2 linked regions of the Diceros bicornis minor genome follow. The protein of the gene in region 2 binds, or shares a complex with, the protein of the main gene of each other region. Links are inferred from orthologs where the notes say so. Each region holds a gene or a part of one and is shown on either strand. Other genes may lie near its edges.

What was found.
Region 1: the proteins of UBE2F (region 2) and DCUN1D3 are in contact, whole or in part, in a crystal structure (PDB 4GBA), measured with the Homo sapiens proteins. The link is inferred for Diceros bicornis minor from reciprocal best matches to the Homo sapiens genes UBE2F and DCUN1D3. Residues at the interface, in NP_001265234.1 of Homo sapiens: Leu2, Thr3, Leu4, Lys7, Leu8; in NP_775746.1 of Homo sapiens: Glu108, Glu109, Glu112, Pro122, Thr123, Glu124, Met139, Cys140, Glu194, Ile204, Ala207, Leu208.

The regions. Positions count from the first base shown.
Region 1 is NC_080765.1:29,849,675-29,857,432, forward strand, and holds the start of DCUN1D3 (DCN1-like protein 3), read right to left. Parts: upstream 3,201-7,758; 5' UTR 3,179-3,200; exon of another isoform or gene 3,106-3,178; intron 2,908-3,105; exon of another isoform or gene 2,821-2,907; intron 1-2,820. UniProt on the Homo sapiens protein: Contributes to the neddylation of all cullins by transferring NEDD8 from N-terminally acetylated NEDD8-conjugating E2s enzyme to different cullin C-terminal domain-RBX complexes and may play a role in the cell cycle progression by regulating the SCF ubiquitin E3 ligase complex, after UV damage.
Region 2 is NC_080776.1:25,402,003-25,409,812, reverse strand, and holds the start of UBE2F (NEDD8-conjugating enzyme UBE2F), read right to left. Parts: upstream 3,399-7,810; 5' UTR 3,293-3,398; intron 1-3,292. UniProt on the Homo sapiens protein: Accepts the ubiquitin-like protein NEDD8 from the UBA3-NAE1 E1 complex and catalyzes its covalent attachment to other proteins. Together with the E3 ubiquitin ligase RNF7/RBX2, specifically neddylates cullin-5 (CUL5).

The DNA of each region.
Region 1 (7,758 bases), on a different chromosome or scaffold from region 2:
TCACTCAAAGAACACACTAGTCACTGTTGTGGGGTTCAAAAGAAGAAAACAGCAAATTCTTTCTGTTTCTGAGCCCACTGTGACATGGCTCAAGAGGGCCAAATCAAGGAGGAGTCTTGATTGGGCCTCTCAAGTGGACAATCTGGTCAAGGTGAGGCTGAAAAGCAGCTGACTATTGGAGATGAATGGCCCCAGCAGAAGGCAAAAGTAGGTTACATCCCTTGGTTACATGTCAGCCCAAAGATGCCGACATACTGGGATTGGTCCCACAATGGTCATTTATCTAATGTAATCCACTAAGTGAACTTTTAGCACCAAACTACACCTCAGCTGAGTGTTATTAGTCATCAGGCAGACCAGACAAGAGTGGAAATATTGCAACATAAATCCTGCCTCCCTACAAAAAACAACTTCAAACTTAGATCCTGATGGTCATCTTTGTAGACCAACAGGGGCATATTATTATCACTTGCCCAACCTTCAACTCTAAATTCACACACAGCTGGAAGCAAAGGAGGACTCGTACCAGAATACATTTGGGGTATTTATTATGCAATTTTAAATACGAGCATATGAAACAAAATACTGTAAGGAAAAAGGTGTGCCCTCAATTGAACATTCCACTGAATTCTGAACACACAGCTTGAGGTTTATCTGCCAGAAAAGCCCCAGGTGACCACAGCTGCCTTCTCTCCCACTCTCAGCAGGGTGATTTTTTTTTTTTATTACAATAGTCCAACAGTACCTGCAAAATAGTAAGTGATAAGACTGTAGGAAAGGCAACAGAAATAATCAAAAAGGAGGATCATTTTCTTTTTCTTTCTCGCTCTTATTTTGCCTACCTATTCTGAGCCCGCCTCGACTTCTCTGACTAGACTCTTTTCACTCTCCCCTTTGCTCACTAGGCTCTGGCTATGACTGCCTCCCATTCCCAGTCCTCCCCCACCTCTCCACCTCCTTTTACCCCACCCCTTTCTTCCCACTCCCCAGAACTTGCCAAACTAACTCCAGCTAGTTTCTGCACTAGCTAGTCCCAGAAGCTGGAAGGCTCCTGCTCTATCTTTGCATGGCTGCCTCCTTTTTATTTAAGCTCATGTAAGCTTTTTACATAAGGCTCAGCTTAAGTGTCACCTCCTCAGAAAGGTCTTCCTTGACTGAATCCTAGTCAGACACTTTCTATCACATCATTCTTATTTTCTTCAGCACTTAGCAAAACCTGATTTATTTGCTTATTTATTATCTGTCCCCATCTCCCACTCCCCTATAAGCTCCATGAGAGCATGCACCTTATGCTTGTGTTCACCTTTTTACACCCAAGTGGCAGAAACAGTGCCTAGCACTTAGCAGCCAGTTAATAAATGCTCGTTGAATGAATGAATTTTAGACTTTTTATTCAATGGTTCCAAATCAATTAAAGTGTGAACAGCAGTCATTCTTTTCTTTTGTTGCATTTCTGTGAAATATCTACACATGCTGTTACTTGTACAATCAAAGCATTAAGTATTCTGTTTTATCAGGTCTGAAAGCCCTGCTGAGTAGGATGGCATCCGTTATGATAATTCTTCTAGCAATATACATGTAAACTCAGCTACAGAGGGATAGGATTTATGGATACTTTCTAATCAAAGGATCCCTGAAATTTAGGCCCTAGCTCTTAAAGTCCTTCAGAGAAAACAGTTCCAGGTTCAGCAGAGGATTTCCAAAGAAAATATCAACATGAAAATAAGAATCATTACACTTCACTCTGAAATCCTTATGACAGGCTAAAGGAGCGCTACTTGGTGTTTTAAACCAACAGAACATCAACCAAGAGACCTCCTTCCAATCATTCTTTGCTTTCTTCAAATAATTTTTTCACATCCGTTACTGGTTTGTATTTTTCTTTAAAACTAAACTAAACAGATCACATTGTCTCATTTAAGACCACCTATACAAAGAATCAGCTCAATAAATAAGATGGAAATCAGCACAAGCCGAATGTGTCACTGAAGACTTGTGTGCCAGACACACAAAAGGAGAAAAAGATAAAAGAGCTATTGTCCAATTGTAAATACAAAAAAGTAATATTGGGTTTACTGTTCTCTGAAGTGCATCATGAAGTGTGGATGGAGAGAAACACAGAAATCCAGAATTAGCTTAACATCAAATCATTTTGGAAAAGAGTTGACAACATACAAATTCCTCACACACAAAGTATTTAGAGCAAGAGACCTTGATTCCTGGGCTATGATGCCATTTAGGAATCCTTGCAAGGGCTTTGGAATTCCAGTATTCATAGGAGAAAATGCTCATTTCAATCGGGAGCTACCAGATATTGAGAAGTACTCCCAGTGTAACACAGCCTGTAACTGAAGTATTACAAAGCTTGCAGTTAAGATCTGGGATAGAGGCTGAACACCAAATTCAAAAGAGGTAACCAAAACCAAGTGCCATAAAGAAAAGAAAAGAAAAAAAAAAAAGACAAAACACCACGATTACCACCTAGCCACAGAAAACTAAAGTGGAAAGGAGGGGTGTGCATGAGGGAGGATGAGGGGTGAGACGGAATGGAAAACAATTACATTTGTCACCCCGTCCCACTTCCTATACAGGACACAAGCAAGGCCTCCAGCCCCATTACCTCAGGCACAGATGGTTATCGTTTATAGCAAAGGTGCATAGAAAGGCCTTCAGGTCTGAGCCCCTTAATTCCGGGGCTGTTAATGATTAGAGAAGGATGGGGGTGGGGAGGGAAATGAGGGCGGAGGGAGCTGGAGATTCACCCACCACCTCTCGCTTGGGCTCCTACCTCACAGCGCTCACCCGGGGCATAGGACCAGAGTCTGCACCCCTCCAGGGTAGCTCCGGCCCCCAGATCCCAAGGCCCTGGGTTGAGGGGTGCTGGCAGTGGGGTGGCAAGGACAGTAGGTAAGTTTTCTGAGCCCCGCGGCTGACACGCCACAGGCTCCCCTCACAGCCTCTTCTTCCAGAGGGACCAGTCCAGACAAGGAGCTGATTTCCACTCCTCCCTTTCCACCCCCCCCTTCTCGAAGGTACCCAACCCCCGCCCCTTCATCTCTCAATGCGTCCCCTTTTCTCAACCACCAACCCCCTCCCCAAACTCACAGCTGCTCCAGAGGTTCCTCCAGTCAAACCCTTTCTGGAAACGACGGCGGCCCGGCGGGTCCAAACCACCTACCATCCCCGCTCGCGTTTCCAGGCTCCCTACCCCCGCCGCCTCCGCCTCTTCTTCCACCACTGCCGCCTCCTCCTCTTCATCTGCGGCCCACCGGCGGCGGCCGCCTCGAAGCCCCGCCCCCTCCATCGCCTCCTGCATCATCACTTCCGGTAACCCCGCAGGCCGCCCGCTCCAGGAGGGAGAATAGAAAGGGGCGGGGAGGGAACGGGTGGAAGATTGCGTCACGACGTACGAAAACACGTACGAAGCCGTCGCCAAGTAAGGGCAAAGACCTAGCGACCCGGCGGGAAGGCTAGGAGGAGCTGGACTAGACCATTTTTTTGGCTTGAATGGGGGGGAAGGATAGCGAAAGGGGTAAAGGGAAAATAGAGGATGAAGTTGGCTACATTGTTGGGTATACGGCGGAGGGTGGGCGAGAGTTAAGTTTGAGGGAGGCTCGAGACCCCCGACCGAGGACTAATGCTCCCACAGAGGTCAGCCCGGTGGTTTGGTCCGGCCTGGCCTACCGGACCTTGCCCGAACTCCGTGGACTGCGGCTCAGCTGGGCTCCGGGCGCCGCCTCCTCCCAGCCCGCTGGGGGCTGCGGCGCTTCTGTGGGTGGGGAAGGCAGGACTGACGCAGAGTGAGTGTAGGGGATGGAGACGCTGACTCCTGGCGCGGGAGACTGGGGGAAGGGGTTGGCTCCCCAAGGGCAGGGATGGGGGTGGGGGGAGTGCGACGTTGCTAGGAGACGCGCCTGTGTGACCCCAGCCTCTCGAGGGCGGCTGGGTGTCATCGCCTTTGGCCTCGGGAACCTACCAAGGGAAGCGGCCCGAGGGCCAGGAAGGGGAGGCCTGGTTTGGGGACGCCGAGATGCCTGTTTGGGGTCCATCTGAGACTTTTCTGAATCCTTTGGATCCCGGAATGTAAATGGGAGATTAATAGGGGCAATGCCGGGGGCAGGAGGCGTCTAGCTGGGGAAGGTTGACCCAAATGAGATCTGTACAGGTTACGGAGACTTTTTAGGACATTGAGAACCAGCTTCTTAATTCCTTTGGTCCACGAAAGGAGGCGTTGTGCCATGACTTTTTATTCGAGTCCAGGAGAAAGTTAAAAAGTAAATCAATAAGGAAGATATCAGACAGTGAGAAATGCCCCCAAGTCGTAGAAGTCGTAGAAGCTGGGGGGAGGGCCACTCTAAATCGGGTAAGGCTGTTCGGAGGAGGCCAGGTTTTGCGGAGATCTGAGAAAAAGAGGGAAGTAGAGGAATGAGCTTTCTAAGTGGAGAAAAAAGCCAACGGAAAGGCTTCTGAGGAAGGGAACGGCGCGAAGGCCAGGTGGCTTGGAGCAGAAAGAACAAGGGTCAGAGTGGTCAGTAATGAAGTGGCAGGGCCTGATCCAGCCCAAGGTAAGGGTTTGGCTCTTATGTTACCAGAGGGTTTTAAGAAGGGGAGTGACCTGCCCTGGTTTACATTTTTTAAAAAATCACTCTTGGTTGCTGGATAGAGAGGGCTAGAAGTAGTCAAACCTGTTAGGAGGCTGTTGCAGTGACTGGCCAAGGGAGAGGTGATGGTAGTGTTGCCGTCTCATTGGAAATGGAGAGAATTAAATTCAGAATGTATTTTGGAAGTAGAGCTTACAGGACCTGCTGCCGAATTGGATGTGAAGTGTATGGGAGAGGGAGCAACCAATGATGACTCCTAAGGGAAAACAGTTTAGAAGGGAGTATCATAAGTTCTCTTTTGAACATATTAGATTTGATAAGTCTATTAACCATCCAGGTGAAGTTGTCGAGAAGTTCGATATACGAGTCGGGAAAAGTCATAGAGGTAATAAATGTAGAGGTTTATTCCTAGATCACCTAAGAAGACGGTGTAGATAAAGAGAAAGGCCCCTAAACTCCTTGGGGCTCTTTAAATTTACAGATTACCCAGAGAAGGAGAAACCAGCAAAAGAGACTTGTACAGACAAGGCCTCAAAGATAAAAGGAGGCCCCCTTAATATCCTGTAATAATGAGACCCACCCTCATAATTAGTGAGACTCATCCCTCCACTAGCCAGTTTCTACTATCCTCTAAAATCTGGCTCAAGTCCCTTCCCTCCCTCTCTCTCCCGGTTGTCAATGCTTTTGGACTTGTGTGCAGGTGGTTTGTGTCCATTATAGCAAGTCTGACTTTGCTTGTTAATTGTTTGTATGTCTGGCTCCCCCATGGACTATTTCTTCTTTGTGTCCTACTGGCTCCTGGTACAGAGCCTTGCCTATAGGGCCCAGCATGTGGTTGTAGCTAGGTAGGAACACTGTGTTCATAAGATATCAGCCATGGACTTCCACAGCTTCTGACAAAGGGGCTTTTGTCCCTGCTGCTACTGCCACTGCCACCACAATCGACATATGGTCAATCTCATAAAATCTAGAAAGGGCATCAGAAGAAGAGTCAGAAGGCCTGAGTTTCAATCTTGGATCTGCTACTGACCAGCAGAGTGGCCTTGGATAAGGCCTTTTTCTTTGAGCTGAAGGAGTTGGCCTAGATTAGAGATTGCCAACTGGCAAAATAGATATTGCCTGCAAACATATTGTTCGGCCCACAAAGTGATTTAAATTATTTTTTAAATTTACTTGCCAACATTTAAAAATTGGACATCAAAATCCAGATTTTCAGCTTCATTTGGAAATGAGACAATCTGGCAACACCAGCCTGAGGTTCCTACACAGCAACAGTGAACTGGAGCCAATGAGCTGCTTCCCCCTCTGTTTGTGGCTCAGTGCTCAAGTTTGCCAAAGGCCTCTCCCTTCCACTACCTGCCTGACCCCTGTGGGCATTTGATTTGCAATTCTTGGTCTAGAGCTGTGCTGTTCATGTAGTTGTTTAAATTTAAATAAAATAAAAACTTAAAATGCGGTTCCTCAGATGCACTTAGCATATTTCAAGTGCCCAATAGCTACATGTGGCCAGTGGCTACCCTGTTGGACAGCACAGATATAGAATATTTCCATCATTGAAGAACATTCTTCAGTCAGTGCTGGACTGGAGGAACTTGAAGGTTCTGGGGGTGCTAATCATTCCAGATGCATAAAGGTGAACAATCTGCTCCTGCTCTCAAGGAACTATGTCTAGTAAGGAGCTCCAGTGCCTCTGCAGATGAGAAAAGTTGCTTATTTGATAGTTATTCAATAGTTGGAGGGTACTTGAAAACTGTTGTGAAGGCAGGAACCCCTGGGCAGAATGAGGTTATTTATCAGATGGTTCGATCAAGGGTCAGGTGCTAGAAAGCAGCTGTATCTAGTGTTATAACTACAGCCCTTTTTGTCAGTTTCTTAATGCAGTTCCTTAGGAAATTATCACAAAGGAAGGATTTAAATGTTAATTTAAATGTAAGTGTTTTGTGTTCTCTAACTTCCCTAGTTCCCATGAGGGGTTGAAATCCTGGGTAGTTATGAATGAATGACTGGAGTTGATCATTAGCGTTGACCTAGTTTTCATCTGTTTCCATCGCACACGCGTGCGCGCGCGCACACACACACACACCCTCACCCTCACCCTCTAACACCACCTCCTACTTCTGGTAACTGGTTCCCACCACCTCTGATTGACCCTTACCTTGTCTTTATCTTTTCTTATATGCTGATAAGGAAACAGATACTTCCATTTATTTTGAATTGAGGAACCAAAACTTGGTTTCCAAAGATAGCTGTATATCTCTTGGTTACAATAGCCTGATTGGAGTTCCCCTGACAAGTATAATCTTTTGAGTGCTCCAGTGCTGGTATATTTAGAATGAGTGTACTTGCCTCATATGATCTTGTTTGGGATAGTTTAGAAGTCTTTCAGACACCAATATTTTCTGTTTTTCCTTGTGTTCTGAAGATTTCCCATATTACAGGGCCTCCCCTAATTTCTTTTCCTTTAAGTAAAATAAAAATACCATCTACCCTCTCCTCCCTGCCCTCTATCTCTGACACACCATATTGTCACTTTCTATGTAAAAAGATGCTGTTTCAGAGAATAGCTGTGGTATGATTAAGTACGCCGCACAAGCATATCCTGAGATCTGCAAAACAATGTGTGGCATTACACTTCCCTTTTTGGATTCTAGTAACCAAAAACTGAAGCCAGGACAGGAAACAAGTCCGTGGTGTGTGTGTGTATGGAGGCGAGGAAGGCTAGAGGACAGAGATGTGTGGGGCACAGTTTAGCTTGAAGGTTATTTGATTTGGGTAAGGATGATACCGTATAGGATATGGATGTATGCCAGAAAGTAGGGGGTATAACAGATCTAGGAGAAAAGAACAGCAAAGGATAAGCAAGGGGTAAGAGATAAAGGAAGGAAAATAGGAAGGGAAGCCTGGTCATGCCTTTGGTGTTGGCACCTGCATTGTATTTCCAGTAAGAAGCATGAGCTGTGGTCTGAAGATAAGCAGTGCCTCCAACAGGGTTATTTACTCATACTGAAGAACAATAGCCCTTTGCTGTACAGGGATTATTAATGATCAGAGGGAAACAGATTTAGGAAAATCCATTGCTACCACAAAGCAGTAAATTTGCCAACAAGCAACACATTTCTTTTCCCTCCTCTGCGGACAAAGCTTAGCATAGATAAAA
Region 2 (7,810 bases):
CCACTCACCTGCTAGAAGTGGTCATGACAGAAACACTAATTTCCCTCCTGGAGAGGATGGAACATTCGTATCTTGAGTGTGGTGCTGGTTTCAGGGATACATACATACATCAAGACTGATCAAACTGCATACTTTAAATACGTGCTGTTTAGTGTACTTCAATTATACCTCAATAGAGTTGACAAATGTGAAAACAAACCAACACTACTTTCTTCACTCCCCCTCTACCATGCCGTCTCCTCAGATGGACCTACACAGAAGCATGGACCATAACCAAGGCACGCACATCTTCTCAGCTTTACCCAGGGCAGGCAGCTATTGGTTCAGTTTACAAAGTAACCTCACAAGGAGGTGCTGGAGGTGGGCGTAGAGTCAGGAACACCCGTGGGGGCTCCAGCCCACAAGCTACCAGAGACAGCAGGACCATCTAGAGCAGGCTCTCTTGCTCAGCCCCCACCTGGAATGATCTTGTCAGGAATCCCTTAAGCAGATCTGGATCACAAAGCAGTGTTTGCCTTCCCAACCAAGTCCACTGCCACACACCCAGACTTGAGCATCGGTCCTACCACATCGTCAGGGGCGCCTGAAGATGGGCCAAGATATGCATCCATCACTTGGGAGTTGGCTGGATGCACCACACAAATCCACTTGGTTTTTATCCTCTAGCCAACCTTAGCAATACAAATATGCCAAAAAATAAAATAAAAGAACAGTGTCCATAAAGAGAGTTCAGCAGGCAGTACCCTAGGAAAGTCATAATAAAGAGCCCCATGGGAAAGCAAGTGCTAGGGCACATGCCAAGTCCACACCCAGCTCCCTGAGGACCTGCACCGAAGGAGCCACTCAGAGGGTCCTGGCAAGACTCACTCGCACAAATAAAGGCTCATACCAAGGCACTCTTCTGTGTCACTGCAGTCTGAGGACTCGGCTTAATTCTTTGTTTTTTTTTTTTTTGTGAGGAGATCAGCCCTGTGCTAACATTTGCCAATCCTCTCTGTTTTTGCTGAGGAAGACTGGCCCTGGGCTAACATCCGTGCCCATCTTCCTCCACTTTATATGGGAAGCCACCACAGCATGGCTTGCCAAGCAGTGCGTCGGTGCGCCCCGGGGATCCGAACCAGCGAACCCCGGGCCGCCGCATCGGTGCACCCTTGGGATCTGAACCCAGCGAACCCGGGCCGCCGCAGCCGAGCACGCGCACTTAACCACTTGCACCACCGGGCCAGCCCCTTTAATTCTTTTATACCCCTACCCCACAATGAATTCTTCTCCGTGGGCAGAGTATGCTCCATACTCAATCAATTCTACTTAAAGACAGACTCCTGGCTTGTGATCTTCAACAAGTCTGTGGCCCTTATTAATTGACTAGGCAAGATACAAAAGAAAACACTGGTGTTTTGTTTTCCATAGAAGATAAGACAAAACTCACTTTCCTAACATTCTAAAAAATCTATGTATGTAATGACCATCTACTTCTCCATCATCTTTACCATTATGACATGACATTTTAGGGATAAACCAAAGGACAAATTTGGGAATGTTCATAGCTGTTAAATTAACACTATAAAAGAGATCTGAATAAAAACAATTATTCAAAGAGTCTAGAGGTTAGCTGAACACCTGCAGTTGCTTCGGAATTCTCTTTACCTTCTTCAATATGCTTCATTCCTTAAAGAGCTATTTTAAAACTAAACTTCCCCTTTACTGCAAATGACACTCTGACTATGGCAGCATTTTTGGTAACGCACCAGCTATACTGAACAGCATGCTCAGTCTGTAAATTCCACAAGTTGTAATTGGCCTGGTTAAGTTCCTCTTCTGGGTGGGTCTTGCTTTCAGACTGTTCAAAGAAGATTCTTATGTGCTATTTACTAGTCTCATCATACCAAGTAATATTTACACAACATTCCCACCTGTAGCGGCAAAATCAGGCCATGTCACCTGTGCATGGACATCACGGGCCAGTCAGCTCACGTGGTGGGGAACTTCTCATTTACAATTCTTCCTGCAGTGGAAAAGTCCCAATCTCAATGTAAAAGATGGAACTGCAGGACACTAGGGGACAACCAACTTCTCCAGCCAAAGAGGCCCAAATCAGGACACAAAAAAGTCCACACCCTACCCTCCTCCTTCAGAATGCTGGGGCCCTGGAACCTCCCACCTGGAGTCACCCTGGTTGGCTGACCGACCTTTGGAGCCCAACTCTTATTTTCAGCAGTAAACCTGCCCCCTTCTGCACACTACCTGAATGGCAGGTATGTCCTGGCAGAGGTCCTCAAGCCTCAGACCTCCTAGCCTGGTGATGATTTGTCTCTGAACATCTCTCCCACTGCTACCCTCTCCCCTGCCTTCATCCGCTTACCCAGCAGGGAATCCTCTGCACAAGGCAGGCGAGCATCCTCCCTGTTCCTCAACAACTCCCTGCTCATTTCTGGAAGCTTCTGCTCAATGTGATAGCCAGGTCTGAAATGCCCTCGTTCCCTTCGCCACCTAATCCCGCTCCTTCCCTAGGGTAACAGATTCCGACCCAGATTTCCAACATCCCCTCCAAGAAGCCTTCTCAGGCCCCTCCGATCCATCCTGACCCCACTCCAGCGCTGGAGGGAATGCAGAAGGGGGCGGGCCCAATCCCCTCATGTGACAGATGAGGAAACTGAGCCCCAGGGAGAAGAGGGCCACACCCAAGATTACACACCCGCAGAGCCAGGTCTAGAATCCAAGACTCGGCTGTACTGATCTTTCCAAGATGCCCTCCCCGTCTCCCGGCCAGCAAAACCCTTCAAACTAGCCGTGCCCACCCCCAACCCCCATCGTGGGGAAGCTGCGAGCACGCCGGCTAGGCGGGAGTGTCCCCCCACCTCGCCCTCTCGGCCTAGCCTGATCCCCGAGGCAGTCCCGAGTCGGACCGCCCGCGTCCGAGCCCCGCTTCCTCCGGCCCCGTCGGGCTGGTGACCTTGGCCCAGCACTCGCGCTCCGTTTCCTCTGGACAATGCGGCCAGCAGCTCCCCGCGACGGCGGCGTGAGGCCGTGTGTACCCGGCATCACGGTCGGGGGGGGCGGGGGAGGGGGGGCTGTCCCAGCGCCCTGCAGCGCCCGACCCGGCCCTTCCCATTCCCGCCGCCCGACCCCGCGCCCCCCGCCTGCGCCCCGCGGCACCCGCCCGCGGGCCCCCGGCGCCCGGTCCTGAGGGGCGGCACGGCCTGAGGCGGCCTCGGCGCCGCCCGCCCTCCACCCGCCCGGTGCACCGGCGCCGCGGGAGCCCCTCGCCCGCGCAGGGCCGCGCGCTCCTCACCTGGGCACCCCGAGACAGGCGAGGCGGACCCGGCGCCCAACACCATGCCCGGCCGGCCGGCAGCGGCAAGACGCGGCCCCTCACAGCCGCACCGGCTCCGGGCGGCAGGACCGGAAGTGGCGGGGCGGGGACTCGGCCGCTCTCGCCCGCAGCGGCCGCTGCTGCAGCTGGCGCTTTAAAAAAAAAATTCAAAGCTCCGAAGAACTTTATTTGGAACTTGACGCGCGAACAGCGCCGTGCGCCGGCTGCGGCTGGGCTGGGAAGCAGGCTGCTCGGACCTCGCTGATTGGCAGAGGGCGCGGCCGGGGGCGGGCGCGGATCTCGCGGCCCTCGCTGATTGGCGAGTGACGGCCGGGAGCGGGTCTCCCGTCTGTACCGGAGCCTGCGCGCCGCGGCCCCGGGGGTTCTGTGCGGCGTTCCTGCCTCCATTCAGTTGGTGGTGCGTTGACACTGGGCGTGGGGCTCGGAGGATCCCTGTGCGGCCTGGCCTGGAGGAGCGGCCAGGCCGGAATTAACCGCCTCGGCGGATGGGGCGTCTTCTGTGTGCCCAGCGCAGTGCCGAGGTTGCGGAGGACCGGGCTGCCCCACAGCCGGCAGGGTAGGGGCCGGGAGCCGGGGCGGCCAGACGTGCCAACAGCCGCCAACCCCCCGGGTGCCTCGGCCGAGCTCGCAGAGGAGTGGGTGGGCCTTTCCTGCCTTTGTCTTAATGGTTTTTATTCCTGTTTCATCTCTTCCACATTGGTAAAGTACTTACTCTAAAAATCTGTTTCAAATTGTTGTATTTCTAGCTTGTTGAGTACGAATTCTTCTCACGTCCATTTGTGTCCCAGTGTGGTTGGTAATAGGCGCTGGGCGGGGGAGGGGGCGGGCTGGGCGGCAGGTCGGGCAGGGCTCCTGGAGGAGTGGGCCATCTGAAAGATGAGGTTCACTTCGTGGACCAAGAAGTTAGAATCTTATTTCCAGAAGCCCCATTGAAAGGTTTTAAACAGTGGAGTACCAATATCAAGTTTTCTTTCTAAAAGAGGCTCTGACTCTGAGGCAGTGGGAGCCAGGCAGTGAGGAGAGTAGAGTCAGGAAGACCAGTGAAGAACACACAACTCATGGTATCCCTTCTGTTTGGGAATGATTTCCTCCTTCTTCACCTGGCTAACTTGAGTTTTCCCAAGCTTAGACACCACTTGTCAGAGAGGCCCCAGAGACTGGGAGGTGCAGGTGCCCCTCTGTGACTTTACTGGAGCCCTGTGCTCCCCCCGCCCCCCTACCATTTCCCTAAGCTCAGCTCCCCGGGCCCTCCTCTGCTGTGTTCTCCCTCCTTCTACTCCCCCTCCCCCCATCCTGGCACATAACAGGTGGACATAATACATCTGCTGGATAAGTATTGCATGAGCTATTGCAGGAGACCTGGCAAGAGAAAATAAGGCCTTGAAGCAAGGCGGCAGGTGAAGGAAGGACTGGAATGGCTTGAGTACTCATCTTATTCACTGGGAACACTGTCTACAGGATGGGCTGCACCGCACAGTGGCCCACAGCTCACCGTTGTGGATATATAAAGCCATTTCTAGCTCCATTTCATGAGGCTGCCTCATGTCTTCACCTGAGGCTTATTTAGGGTTTACTAGATTATTAACTCATGTAATCCTTACAACAACCTCTTGAAACGGGTATTTTATTATCCCCATTTTAAAGATAAGGAAGTAGTCTGCCCAATATGGCAGCTAGGATTTGCCCTCAACTGGTGCACCACGCCCCTTAGGCAGCTGGTGGTGCCAGCAGGCAGGTAAGGGGCAAAGTTGGCCCTCCTGCTTCCTGCAGAAGCAATTGGTTTTCATCCCGGGCTCCTTCAAAAACAGAACTTTCACTAGCTTAAGCACAAAAGATTTAGAAGGCTGGGTATGCTCACAGAACCTAAAGAAGGTCAGCTCTAGGAACCGGGGAACCTGGCCTGTCGCTCTCAGTGGCTCCAAGAGTCTTGGCCTCTGGGGGCTAGCCTTGTCCTCCCAGATGCCTCCTTGGAGCTGGGGCCTGGCCTCAAACACATCTTTACAATCCAGGCCATAGAAGGGGCTGCCCCTTCCCTCCCTCTTTCACATTCACTGGGAGGGATTGGCTGGGCTTTGGAGGATCACGTGCCCACCGTGCATGTGTGTGTGTGTGTGTGTGTGTGTGTGCACACGGCATTGTGTATGGGAGGAAGGGTAGAGGTTCAATTGTGAGTCTCCCAAAGAGGTGCTGGTGCCAGAGGAAGAGCAGGTAGAGACAGTTCACCAGGTGTCCTTCCTACCTCCTCCATGCCTACCCCGAGAAGTTCAACCCAAGGCTTCCAGCTGGGCCGTGGAAGGGGAGATATCCCCTCTCTGTTTTCAGCCAGGCCTGCCTCTGGACACAACTGCACAGGCTATCTCAGAGGCTGTCTGGCCTGGTCCGGGGCTCCCTGACCTGGATGACATGGTACCACCAAGCCAGGGCCCTGGATAATCTTCAGCCTGAGGCAGCCTGCCAGCTGAGTGACAATGCCTAGTGCAAGGGCTTGGTTGCCTGCTGGGTTAGGGTAGGGCCTCCTAGGCAGGAAAAGTGACCTCTGCCAGGAAAGCCAGGGGAGGGACACCTTCCTTAGCCATCCACTCCGCTCTTCCCTCCTGCACTCACTATGGATGGAGCAGAGATCTTCCACATCAGTGGCACCCCATTGGGTAGACATTCCTGGCTCTGTGTTTCAGTGGAGAATTGCCCCGAGAGGTAAAACCTGTAGCCTGGGTGAGCTGAGATCAGAGCCAGGCCCACCAGGTCCACTTGTGCCACTCCCTCTGCCCCACACTGTCCTAGGCACTTCAAGCCTTCCCTGGGGCACGACCTTAGTGATGTTCCAAACTTGACCCCTTGCGTGAATTGGGAAACAGCCCTGGCGACACTAGATGGGGAGTAGATGTGGGTGGAAGGGTTCAACTCCGCCCTCAGCTGGTACCTGCTCTAACCTGTTCTTTGTCGTTCTAGGTTATTCCAGGACATGCATCCTGCCCTCCAGCCAGCCCCAGTTCTCCCGGGGAGCAAGGCCCAGGGCACTGGACAGCAGTGGACACACATAGGCCCTGTGTCCCTACGGGGTCTTCTGAAATCTATTTCAATAAGCAGGAACTATATGATGAGTACCTACCTGGTACTGAGTGTCAGAGGGTACAGAATATATAAAGCGCAGACTCTGCCCTCCAGAAGCATGAGCTCCCTGGGGAACTAGTACTCGGGAAGTCACTATAGAATGGGGGGTTCAGCTGTGACCCCTGAGGTCTGCTCCACATAGCGGAGATCAGAGTCTCCGCTGTCCCACCTGAATTGAGAGACTGCTGGCAGAAGGAGGGAGGGAGAATAGCTATGCTGACCATAGCCCTTGCCTTAGAATTCATCTGGGGAGGCTGAAAACTAATGGACAAAACCCAACGTGCTACTGGTGCTTTCTGTTGCTAAAAGTGGAAACAGGTCACGTTATTTTTAGGAAAAGCTTTATTGGGCCTTTCCTAGTGAAAGTGCTCTGGAGAGGGGAGGATGAGGCAAAGATGAGACCAGACAAAGAGTGGCTGGAAGTGGTTATGGGGAACAGGAGAGGTTGTCTTAACCAAGACCCATCGGCCCCTCTGGTGACCCAGTCCTGGGATCCTCTGTGGTATCAGCGAGGGGACAGACTCCTTGCCATTGGGGGGGCTCAAATTATGGTGACGATGATGATGATGTAAGGGGCTACCCAGGCAACAATTAGATTCTAAGTAATGTGACTTTAATTACATATCTGGTATAATTAACTTTTGACTGCTGTTTTAACTGGCCCCCAGGGAAAACATCATGTGTCCTTTTATTCCTTTAAAAAATAATAAAATGGGCCATGACAGCTATTCTGGAAAAGGACTGAATCAGAGTGGTCTTTTAAATATTATAGGATTCAGATTTTCATCATTCACCCTAAAGCAGTGCTGGGCACATTTTAACAAGGGCTGTGCATTGTTTTGTTTTTGTTTTTGTTTCTTTTTTTTTTTTTTTGGTGAGAAAGATTAGCCCTGAGCTAACATCTATTGCCAATCCTCCTCTTTTTACCGAGGAAGATGGGCCCTGGGCTAACATCTATGCCCATCTTCCACTATTTTATATGGGACGCCGCCACAGCATGGCCTGACAAGCAGTGCGTCGGTCCACGCCCAGGATCCAAACCTGTGGACCCCGAGCTGCTGCAGCAGAGCCTGCAAACTTAACAGCTACGCCACGTGGGTGGCCCCAGGACTGTGCATTGTAACTGGAATGGGGACATCGTACAGTCAGATTGTAAGTCACCCCTGGGGTCTCAGTGCCCCTTCCTGCAGGCTGCACCTCTGTGACTCTTCCCTCTTCCAGGCTGCCCATCAGATCTGGCCCCAGAGCTGACAGAGCTCTGAGAGAAGCTGCCTTCCTCCAGAGCCTCTTGCTTTCACTTGCAGAAATGTATTAAAATCACCTGCCTTTGTCACACTCTCTCCTGTTTTGCGTTGCATATTCTTT